3 linked regions of the Nothobranchius furzeri genome follow. The protein of the gene in region 3 interacts with the protein of the main gene of each other region in a biochemical or structural test. Links are inferred from orthologs where the notes say so. Each region holds a gene or a part of one and is shown on either strand. Other genes may lie near its edges.

Region 1 (4,098 bases), on a different chromosome or scaffold from region 3:
AGGTAGCCAAGTAAAGACTTACTTTGTGCATTCTGATGAAAACTATTACAGCCACTTGGCCACTTTATGAGTTGAACGTCCTGATTCACAGCCCTCAGAAACACGAGTCTTTACTCTTCAATTCACATAATTTTGGTTTATGGCAAGAAAGCAGAGCCCACACCCAACTGCCTCAGGGCTGCCTGCCTGTTCTCAACTCCCTCCAGACATGCAGAACGGGCTTTGGGACACGCAGGGAACTCCAGGCTGGTCAAAGACAAGAAGTTACTTGATTAGCGTGGAATTTTATTAAGCTGTGGGTGGAGTAGCATGGTGGCAGAAAGAGCCGGAGCAAAATGCCACCATTCATTGATCAGGAGAGATTGCAGGAAGGGGAGAGAAAAAAAAGATAAACAATCCCCTTGTGTGCGGCTGGGAGTAGGAACAGTTGCCACAGGTTTCTGCTAATAAACATGCCAAGCGTGTGGACTTTTAGGGGAGTTTAATAGCCTCTTTCTGCTAATTTGATGGGAGGTCACAGAAACTAAGCGTGTTTCCGTTTCAAAAGGCTTCTAGCTACAGCAACTTATTCATAACACAAACACTACGACCAGGGCACGTGGTGTTAAGACAAACCACATTCTCAAACAAATTACTACAATTGTATTTTTTATTAGAAATAAATAATTCGTACTACTCCAACTTTCATTTTAGCATTTAAACAATAATTTATAGCATGCTTGAATCCTAAAACTAAGATCCTGTAGTCAAAGACCTTTATTTTAATTTTAAAGCACCCACCAGTAACTAATCACACCAAACACAACAGCCCCTGGGAGTCATGTCGAGCTGAAACCTTGTGAAAACACGTAGTCCAACAATTTCTCAAATAATTGTGATAAACAACCCTCTGACACATGAACATTATCTTGGCATCCACTCCACAGTGAGTGCCCAAGACTGAAGTAATATAAATCAATAGAGGAACTTCCAGAGTGTTAACCCTCCCACTGTCCTAATGAGTGTGACCCCGCGAGGAGGAAAGTTGACCATTGAGCAGGGTTGATGGTTTATCCCTTTGGTCCATGTGGCAGGGGTGAGTAGTGAGAACCACCTCACCCCTGCCACGTGGACCTCAAGGGATAAACCATCAATCCTGTTCAATGGTCAACTTTCCTCACGGGGTCACCCATAAAGACAGTGGGAGGGTTAAGCATGTGGCAAAAGCATCCTTCCATCCTCCTGCAGAAGGGTTGCCAGCAATTAAGACAGGAAGCAGTAAGGTGAATCTTAGTGCAGCTGGAGGCCTGCAGGTTACAACAGGCTTGAAGCAACCTCATCACTTCATGTGAAGCTTGGATACTTATTTCCAAACTAATGATCCAAACAGCACCAAGAGATAACATAAATAAATGTAAATTGCGACAAGGACATATTAGTCCAGACCTGATGATGCAACTTGTTTGAACAACCCTAATCTTAAAATAGATGTGCAAAGTGTCTTTGTCTTAATGAAGCACAAAACAGCTCTCACTCTGTCAAAGTCAAATCTTTGGGTTGTTTTTTCATGCATTTACACTTTTATTGAGCCCTCTTATAAAGAGATTGGTACTAAGAATTTTTATAAAGAGAATAATTGTGCAGACTACAAATTCTTTCATCAAACTTTGATCCTGATTAGACACACAATGCAATACATAAACAAATACATAAACATAAACACTGACAAAACACTCACTCCCAGGGGTCCGAATCAAAGAATCTTAAACATATCCCGAAAAGAGACAAAAAGCAACCACTAAGTCAAATACTACAGAAAAAAAATTAAAATGACTAAAAATATACATAGACAGAATGAAATGGGTATGTACCAGATTTTATACAAATAATCCACAACAAAATAATTCAAATAAGAGACAATGAGACATAAGGAGGCTAAATCATCACTGAATAAGCTGATCCAAACCCATTGAGAATACAAAGAAATATTTGCAACCCAATAGCCAGAAAAAATAACCCTATTGATATTTTTCTTTAAAAAATATTTAAAATGAGCACTGATGAAAATTATTACATTTAAAGCACGTGGATGCATACATGAAGAAAAATATATTAAAAAGTACTAGTAACTATGAAAAATATGAACCCAACTCTACTTGTGTATCACTTGAATCCTGCACTCGTCATATCCAAGAGTACAGCAGTAAACTAAAGTCTACCTCTATTAATATCTGTGCAGTTGGATTTATTTTTAAGGTTTGTTTCCATGTTTGTCCTTTAGTCCGTTGTTTGTGACTAGGCTACTGTCTGAACACACATTTGACATTAACTTTAAAAATGTGTGCTGGTGTGTAAATATCTGAACCTGATAAGGTATGTGGAACAAACCGGACTAAGGGCGTAAATGTCAGCATTTCTTCAGTGACAACAGAGGCAAACTATTGGTGTCGGAAACAATTTATGTTCCAAGGAGTAGACTGACCCCGAGTAGCGTTAGCTACCTGGGTAGCTAACAAGCTAGAAACTTACCAGCAGACAATCCGTGTTAATTTCTGACTGAGGGTCTTCCAATATGGCATCGATTTTCTCAAATCGACTGTCGATACTTTCCACCGAAGACATTTTGCTGTGAAACTCAGTCCGGACGTTGCGTTATTTACGAACAAAAACAGCTCAGCGGCGAGGCGGCTACCTAGCTTGAGCTAGCCAAATGTTCCTTTCTTCGAGTGAACTTTGCACCTCCCTTCAAAGCAAAAACGTCGTTGTCCTCGACTTTTCGCAGACAAAGGTGTTGAGGTCGCAGTTAATGTTCCGCATTTTTGGAAACTAGAAGATGTTAGTTCCAGTATGAGTGGCAAACAACTTCAGTGTCAAAAGATAAATGTGGCGACAGATTAGACAACCTCCGGAGGATGCCGCTGAGGATAAAGGCTTAAAACGTTGGTGCATTCAACGAAAGGCAATTAAAAGGTAAATGCCATGTCTTCTAAAAAAATAAACAGTCTGTAGGAAGCACTAGTCCTGGCCCGTTTCCATGTCAGTAGTAGGCCCTTGCAGGAAAAAACCTGAGTCTGACAGCTCAAAAGTAGAAGTGGTGGGAAAAAAAACTTCTGCTTCTTCCAAATTTCGAAGTTTAAACACGGAGTCCCTTCAACGTTTCAGGTCCTTCCGTTGCGTCCGACTTACTGTCAATGTCTAAGTCTCGTCCACTCCGTTGTACGTCTTAAAGTAAATATAAATAATTAATTAAGTCCGATATGTATTACTTTTTGACAAACAATCGCATACTGTGCACAATTTTCTCTCAGCACGGCTTGGCCAACATGTCCGCCTTCCTGTTCAAACACCCAGGAGGAGCTGGTTGAAAATGTCACGTAGTGCGCATGCGCCCCGCTGAGTCGTGTTTAAAAAATTCGGAGGCAACTTTGCAAAACAATTCAGGAATGAGTTTTAAACATTTGTATTTGCTGTCCACACATGTGAAATTGTCATATTATATCAATGCATAATTCTTTAAAACCCTGACCTAATTTTTTATTTACATATATGAATATTACACACATGCTCTTATAAAAATGTAAGTAATTGTCTCTGATAAATAAGCTTAAATATGCCCCTCATACTCCGATAAAAATATTATTTTGTTACATTAATGTATTTATTCTTATGCAGAACAAACTAGTATGAGCTCTGAGGAAATGAAACGTATAAGATACAAAGAAAGACTATATGATAGTTTTCATTTTTAATAAATTTGGCCTAGAAAAGTCACATTGTGATAAATTATAGGTGATAAAATAAATAAAAAAATAAACAATTCATTGCCATTTTTATTTCTATCCTACCCTTGTATACTTTTACTTGATCTGGAGACAATGTCTTAAAAATATAAATGTGGAGAAAACGAATTTTTTAACGTTTATAATTTGTTTAATACACATTCAGATGATTTTTTAAACTAATGAAATGTTTTCTACAAGTTTTATGTGTGGACTTGTTGCCTTTTTTCCAATAGAGGGCAGTATTTTACAATTTATACTCCTTCGTTCATTTGTTTACCAAATTAGATCAATAAGCAAAATGTTGTTTGTTGTTTTTTTTTCTTAAATGGGAAACGTA
Region 2 (4,165 bases), on a different chromosome or scaffold from region 3:
TATTGGATCAGGAGCAAAAAAAGTGATGCAGGGGAAAGAAAATAGAGACATCTCAGGTGACAAGGTGAGCAGGAATGGAGCTGTTCACATGATTTTCCACAATTAGGAAATTGTCTGTCACCCAGCCAAAATGTTAGTTGTCCGAATTGTCACGGTAATGTGGACACTTCATCCGTGCTCCATCTCTCTCTCTCTCTCTCTCTCTCTCTCTCTCTCTCTCTGTCTCTGTCTCTCTCTCTCTCTCTCTCTCTCTCTCTCTCTCTCTCTCTCTCTCTCTCTCTCTCTCTCCTGTGTTTATACTGTGGCAAAAGTTAAAGCTGTGCTCCATAGCATGATGTCATCAAGGAGAGGAAGAGACGGTTTTGAAATTGGAACGACTGTAGCGCCCGCCACCTTTCCCTTCTGGAAGGAGCTGAAAAGCACGCCTCATACAACATTTTGAAGGAAAAGTAATGGTTTTGGTGTGTTCCTGCTCAGATATACCTGATTCTAGCTACCAAATGACCTCCTCAGCCTTCATCAGGTTCTATAGGAACTGCTAATCACTCCCTTTAAATGAATCTGCAGAGTTCAAGTAGGTTAAGATCTAAAACCAGTAGGATACCAGCACTCGCGATGCTAGCACACTCCTGCTAACACTACAACCACCAGCTAAAACAATACACCGATGTGGTGTAAGGTTGAACGCCATGCTAATCACTTATCTCCAGTTCGCAAAAGATAAATCCCCTTTTGTCTGTGAGACCACCTACCGTTTCATGTCTCCAGTGGAAAGAGAGTTTGCGGATAAAGCGCTTCTGTTACGCATCTACTGGAAAGGCCAGATTAGGGGAAAAGGTCAGAGAGTCAGTTTGAAACATTTTTGTTTTAGTTTTGTTTAAAAATGTTAAACTACCTACCCAATCTTAGTTTCATGCTCTTGAGGTATTTTCTAAGTGTTTGCTTTGCTTTTTCAGTCTGATTGGCAGCTATTCTTACACTTTTTCCTCTCCTCTTTTGCTTTCTTGCAATTCTATCTGTTTCTGTCTGTGTCGGCCACAGATGTGTTTGCGCTCCACTAGTTGGGCGCAGGACTGCGAGAATACGAGCAGGCTCTTCCTTCCTGTTCATTCTAGCTGTAGCTCACTTCAGCAGAGAGGGCACGCAGGTCAAACCAGAACAACACAAACGGAGGGATGACAGGAGACACGATGGAAGAGAAGAAGATGCATTTTGTTAAAAAACAGGACGGTAGATAAAATGCAGATGCTGTGGACTTTCACCTGCAGAACCAACTTTAACATGGGAGCACAAGAGAGTCTGAGCCGTGCTCGCACTGAAGAGAGCCTGAGATGAATTTGTGCGAGCTGCTGCGGCGGTCGCCTTGTGATGGATGCGGGTAGGAGCGTAAAACAGCATGGACAATGCTGAGATGGAAAAGGACAAAAAAAAGTTCAAGCTGAGCCGCGTGCTGTCCCTTTACCTGTTCAGAAAGAACAAATCCCTGACTGGTAGTCCCGCTCGCTGTAACGGCTGCAGAGCCTCAGCTGCAGCAGACGGTGACATTTCACCCGAACCAAGGAACCAGTGGACGGTAAAGTGATCCCTCCTCAAGTTCACGTCTGTCTTCTTCACGTTTTCCCACTTGAGTTGTTTTCTAATTTTTTAGGTTATGTGAAGAAATATGAGATGCATTGTCACTGCAAAGTGCAAATGAGGGTGTTTTTGTTGATGTTTGTTCAGAAGCGAGGCGCAGCTGATAGGCTGGTTTCCTGTTGTCACACAGATCCAGGCTTCAGTGGTTTGTGGTTGTTTTTAAAATCTAACAAGTAACATTTTTTTAAAGATTACACAAAAACCTGAATCTAAAGTAGCTACAAAAAATAAAACCCCATCATGAGTCCCTCGTCTGGGCATCAGAAGATCCACCTTTGTTTGTTACCAGTAATACATCTATGGTTTATGAGTTGGAAGTAGGTGCTTCCTCTTCTGGTGACCATTAACTAAAATCAATGTAAAAAATTGAGTGCAGTAATCTGTTTTAAAAAAATCCAAGCTGGATCCTTTCATTGGAGTGAAAAAGTGCTTTTTCTTCTTTCACTGCTGCTTTTCAGAGTCATCATTTATATTTTCCTGCTCTGCAAACATCAAACTCAAGCGTTCTGAACTTGTTTTATCTTTTGACGGTATTTTTATGTGCTTTCAGCAGCGCAAACGTTACTCCACCCAGAGATAAACCTGCACAAGTCCTTGATCAAAGAGCAAAATCTGTGGTTTTAACAGCTCTTGACCAAAAATAACTAAACGCTAGACCCATGTTCCTTTTTAAGAGTTCTCCGGTAATTCCATTTAACTCCGTTGTCACCATTAGTTCCAGAAACTCGATAGCATTGCATCTCATTTATAAGAACATAATCTCTTACATTTGCACACCAGTTTCTCTTTTTACTGCGCTTCCTCTTTCTCTGTGCTTTTATTTTGATAAACGGTTCTATTTATGCCCAAAGACGCATCTGTTCAGAAATGTTCTATTTGCAGATCGACCATCTTAGATTACTTTTACAGCTCACGCACCTGCTTTGTGCTTTCACTCTGTAGGAAGATGGAGACATCAAGGAGATCAACATCACCCACGTGGTCAAGGAGGGCTCGGAGAAGGCAGACGCCTCGCAGTTCGAGCTGCTCAAAGTTTTGGGTCAGGGGTCTTTTGGAAAGGTAACACACCTAGGCTCGCTTTGTCCAACTTTTAAATATTTTTCTCTCGTTGTTTAATTCGGTCGCTCTCCAGAAGCATAAGGGTTGTTTTTGTTTTGCAGGTGTTCCTTGTACGGAAGGTGACCCCTCCAGATGCCAACGAGCTTTATGCCATGAAGGTCCTGAAGAAGGCCACTCTTAAAGGTACACACACTTGGAATAACCCTCCATAACTGATAAAGGTGATGAAAATTAATAATAATACTATTATTTTCTTGTGTTTTTTGGAAGGTTTCCTGTGATCTTTTTTATTTTTGTAGTGATTATTAGTCTCAGTTTCATATCTGCCAAAAAATGTCACCTGTAAGCAAAGACCACCCCAGCTTTCTGTGGGTTGTTGTCAGATGATGTGGTCTCATCTTCTCAACAAACAACAGGGCGTGCAAACTGTTCACACGGTCTCCCAGAGGGTTGTGGTTAGCTTAGGTCGTGCAAATCAAAAGTGAATGCCAACTAAGACATCTTCATCGGCTCTAATCAGTCACTTTTTGCAAAACATTTTTTTTCTCTTTCACAATATGGAAGCAAATATGTACCAAAACTCTAATTAAAATGTGCTGGCTGAAATGCTTCTTCGTGTTCACAGTAAAACTGCAAAGAAATAATCAAAATTAAGAAGCGTGTCTTATTCATTTTATTAATGAGTGTGAATGCATTTTATGTTTATTTTTATTTTTTTATTTATGTTTATTTATTTGGCAGACGCTTTTATCCAAAGCGACATACAATTCTTAACTTGTAGGGCATGTTGTGATCTGTGGGGGAAACCGGAGTACCCGGAGGAAACCCACACTTGCATGGGGAGAACACGCAACTCCACGCAGAAAGGCCACAGCCGAGTTTCGAACCTGCAACCTTCTTGCTGCGAGGCAACAGTGCTAACCACTGCACCACCATGCAGCATTTTAACTTAATTTATAGAACATATTTTCTTCCACAGATTAATTAATCCATGTAGTTTTTATTTGATTAACAGGAATAAATTTCCAGTACAAATTGTTTTTTTTTTTCACTTTACATCTGTCTTCAAATCTAGACATCTTTTAATCATTTTATTTCAAATTCCAGGAAAAAAAATATTGCTTGAGTTAATGTCACCAAGACACGATAAACATGTTTCTGCAACTTTAAAAGAAGTTATCTAAACTTTTCATAGCGTATTTCTGAGTTCTGTTGATTTTCTTAATTGGAAATGGGTTCTTTTTAAAAGAATAAAAGAAACAAACCATCTTCTCTTGTATTTTCTTTTCAAATAACACAGATGAAGAATTTATAGAAAAATGCATTGACTTTTTACTCTTGTCCTTCAGTCAGAGACCGCGTGAGGACCAAGATGGAGAGAAACATCCTTGCAGACGTCAACCACCCATTTGTTGTCAAGCTGCACTACGGTGAGCCAGCTCGCTGTATTAAAATCACTTAAACAGAGATA
Region 3 (3,650 bases):
TTGAGCGAAACACGAGGAAGCGATCCAGCAGCAGAGGCGTGTCTGAGGCTCAGGTGGCTTCTGAAAGTGTTTGTTTCCTCTAAGATGACCCAAAGGTTCAACAGAAGCCGACAAAACGCCACCACAAATAAAACGGAGTAAAACTATGTGTCCAACTGTGTGAAAAATAAAACAGAGCAAGGGAAACAAAACAGGGATTTTATGTTTTCTGAAATGTTTTAGTCTTTTGTCTTGTTCAGTGTTTGAGGGAAAAAAACCTAGAAAAGATACACCTCTAAGATCTGCTGAAATATTTCTAAATACATCCATAACGGGAACTGTTAGGCCTGTTTCCACCGTAAGAACATCCAGGTAACTTTACTGGACCTTCACGGCACGTGTCTTCTTTCCTAAAGGACCACTTTCCAGACCAAAAGAGTACCCGAACTGGGATTAGAACTCAGACACGGCCCAGCAGAGTCGCTCGGCAGGACTAGTGGTTAACTCATGCTGATTGGTTGTTACTCAGTAGGAGATGATATCAGCAGACGTCGCCAAACAACCGCCATGTGTAAGGATGGAAGAGTTGCTGATGAAGCAGAACGGAGGAAAAAGAAACTAAACAGCATTCAGACTGCTTTAAAAGAACTGTTTTTAAACTCCCAGAGCCAGGAAATGCAGCAGAAACACCACACGTTCATGGTGCTTTGTTATCTACTGCAGAGCACCGTAAAAACAGAGTTTCCTTTATTCACTGAACGCCACTTTTTACATCACAGAACCACTCTCTGTCCCCCAAATGGATTAAATTATGGTGTAGTTTCACAGAATAAAACTTTAAACCTCTTAGCATGCCAGCGCGCCGCCCATGGGACAAAACCCCATTGCATTCATTAAACCTGGAAATTTAAGGGGTTAATCTGACCTTGTTCTGACGGAGCAGCATACATGCAGTTTATGCAAATGCATGCACATTCGCATTCATTTAAACCTCTGCTATGTTCTGAGGAGCCGCCAGTTCAACATACAGCAAACTATGAGGAAATCTAGGGATGGACAACATATCGGCATCAAAATCGGTATCGGCTGATGTTAGTCAATTTTTAACATATCGGTATCGGTTCGATTAAAAAAAAAAAAACGGGCAGATATTGTCAACTGATATTTTTTCCATCTTGTCATCGTTTGTTTGCCTGTTTCAGAGGGTGGTGATGTGTATTTGTTAAGTCATGTCACAGTGATTGTAATCATCTCACAAGTGTAAGTGTGTGTGATGTGTGTACATAACCTAAATTCAGCTTTAATCATTTAATTCCATACAAAATCTGCTGATTTTAGAAGCATTAATGTCAGTATATCGATATCGGCAAATATCGGCTATAACAGTGTGATCTTAATATCAGATATCGGTATCGGCCCAAAAAATTTCCCATCGGTGCATCACTAAGTGAATCGTGTTTGTTTACCTATTAACAAAAATGAACTGATGAAGGCGCATCACAAATTTTTATTTCACCACCTTCTAATTAAAAAAACATTTAGAAAATAAAGCTTTAAAATGTAACAAACTGACAAGACACTATGTCATATGGTTGTTAAAAAAGTGTATGATTATCGGACTGGTTTAACCACCCATCAAGGTATCATATGGTTGTTCTTAAAGCGTATGATGATCTGATGGGTAAACTGACCCATCAAGGTGTCATACTGCTTAAAGAATGTATGATGATCTGTCAGCATATGGGTGCTGTCAGATAGGAATACGCTGTAATACGCTAACGCCAATCTGACAATGCATGGTGATTTGACAGAACATCACGAAATGCTGATGTCTAAGCAAAGTCCCGAAAGACAATTTTGTACGAGACAACAACTGACAGGATAGAGCTATCGTATTTTCCCCGTCACCTTCCCTGCTCCCAGAAATGTCCCGGGAACTCCTCTAGTGGAAACGTGGCTACTGTGATCAATATGACCGACTTTAAATCAAGACCTAAGGGAACAGTTAACTCTCTAATAACAGTTAAAGAAAAAGAGGATATGGTGTGAATTGTCCCTGATTAAAATGACAGCAGGAGCTCACCGGTTGTCTGGTGTGAGATCGCAGCAGGCCACGGCCAGAGGAAAGAACCCCGGAGGACAGTCTTCTGGGAGAAACTTCTCCACAAACTTTCCAACACTTAGACCAAAGTCCAGAGTTCTGGGGAGGCATTCGGGATCAGCGTAAACCTTCCCAATGATCTGATTCATGAAATAATAATTAATCAGAGATGAACTAAGGAAAGCAGTAGTAAGAATACATCAAGTACTTTACAAAAACACCCTAGATCTGTGAGGCAACAGGGTTTTGCTGACCAGATCTGACCCGTTTTCCAGACACAAAAACAGCTAAGAACCAAAGAAAAGGTCTCACCTCACAGAGGACGATCCCAAAGGAAAAAATGTCCACTTTTTCATCATAACTTTTGCCTGAAATGACAAAAATCGTAAAGCTTGTGCCCATTCTGAAACGTTTTCTTCCCCGTAAATAAAAACACTTTTCTCTTCACCATTCAGCATCTCAGGAGCCATCCAGTAAGGGTTTCCCACAACCGTGTACCGCTTCTTTCGGTCAATCCGTCTGAAAACTCTCTTCTTGGTGGACGGTTTTTCAGGGCGAGGCTTCACTTTCTCGTCTACGATGAGCCGAGAGAGTCCAAAGTCAGCAACAACAACGGTGTTGTCCTGGTGAAAGAGGACAGAAGATTAAACATCAGTCTTTTAACTTTCCATTTTTGGTTCTTTTTAAAACACAGATAAGGTTCTTCTTTACCCTGCTGACGTTTCGTTTGTGGCTGCAAACATCTTCAGAGCTGACGCTGATGGTGGCGTCACTTCCTACTCCGTTTATCTGTGGGCAGCAGAGGGCGACAACGACGCCACCATCAGCGCCAGCTCTGAAGATGTTTGCAGCCACAAACGAAACGTCAGCAAGGTAAAGAAAAACCTTATCTGTGTTTAAAAAAGAACCAAAAATGGAATTTGAAGACAAACACAGCAAGAATGTACAAAAGAAGTCTTTTAAAATGTTTATTTTAAAATGTTGAGCTTGTTTATAGTTTCCACCTTTTTACTTTTATTAGTTCCTGTAATAGAAAACACTACCCACCAGTTTAACCAGGCAGTTGTGAGAGTTTAGGTCCCTGTGGATGATGTTCATTGAATGAAGGTAGGCCTAGAGAGAAAAAAGAAGACAGATTTTGTAAAAGTGACACACTTCCATTAAATAAGACTAATAACATCAATAAATACAGATATAAATTCTGTTTGTTAGAAATGGTTCATCAGACATTTCCACAAATGTGACAAACGTTTTGTTTACAGCAAAGACAAGAAGCTAACTCACCATGCCAGAGGCAATGCTCTTAGCAAAGCTCACCCTTTGTTCCCATGGAAACTCATCCTGTAGGTCAAGAAAGAAAACAACATCAACAAAAGCTCTTTGGATGTCATAAAATCATTATCTTAATTTGGGAATAGACGCTAACACAGCTAGCTTATTTCTTCTAGTAAAAATGTTTAAAATAATGGCGTTACTAAACAAAAAAGTTTCTTCAGTAACGAGTAATCTAATTACAGTTTTCTTTTATCAAAAGGTCCTTTCTGTCACTGATAAGAAAAACGTGCGTTAC

The links.
Region 1: of the proteins of limk2 (region 3) and rock1, one has a biochemical effect on the other in vitro, tested with the Homo sapiens proteins (2 studies listed by BioGRID). The link is inferred for Nothobranchius furzeri from reciprocal best matches to the Homo sapiens genes LIMK2 and ROCK1.
Region 2: the proteins of limk2 (region 3) and rps6ka1 interact in a test that uses a peptide from one of them, tested with the Homo sapiens proteins (2 studies listed by BioGRID and IntAct). The link is inferred for Nothobranchius furzeri from reciprocal best matches to the Homo sapiens genes LIMK2 and RPS6KA1.

The regions. Positions count from the first base shown.
Region 1 is NC_091751.1:49,076,816-49,080,913, reverse strand, and holds the start of rock1 (rho-associated protein kinase 1), read right to left. Parts: upstream 2,828-4,098; 5' UTR 2,602-2,827; coding exon 2,509-2,601; intron 1-2,508. UniProt on the Homo sapiens protein: Protein kinase which is a key regulator of the actin cytoskeleton and cell polarity.
Region 2 is NC_091758.1:28,127,739-28,131,903, reverse strand, and holds the start of rps6ka1 (ribosomal protein S6 kinase alpha-1), read left to right. Parts: upstream 1-1,235; 5' UTR 1,236-1,396; coding exon 1,397-1,573; intron 1,574-2,577; coding exon 2,578-2,694; intron 2,695-2,795; coding exon 2,796-2,877; intron 2,878-4,043; coding exon 4,044-4,124; intron 4,125-4,165. UniProt on the Homo sapiens protein: Serine/threonine-protein kinase that acts downstream of ERK (MAPK1/ERK2 and MAPK3/ERK1) signaling and mediates mitogenic and stress-induced activation of the transcription factors CREB1, ETV1/ER81 and NR4A1/NUR77, regulates translation through RPS6 and EIF4B phosphorylation, and mediates cellular proliferation, survival, and differentiation by modulating mTOR signaling and repressing pro-apoptotic function of BAD and DAPK1.
Region 3 is NC_091757.1:45,937,389-45,941,038, reverse strand, and holds part of limk2 (LIM domain kinase 2), read right to left. Parts: intron 3,422-3,650; coding exon 3,365-3,421; intron 3,194-3,364; coding exon 3,128-3,193; intron 2,704-3,127; coding exon 2,529-2,703; intron 2,449-2,528; coding exon 2,393-2,448; intron 2,221-2,392; coding exon 2,063-2,220; intron 1-2,062. UniProt on the Homo sapiens protein: Serine/threonine-protein kinase that plays an essential role in the regulation of actin filament dynamics. Acts downstream of several Rho family GTPase signal transduction pathways.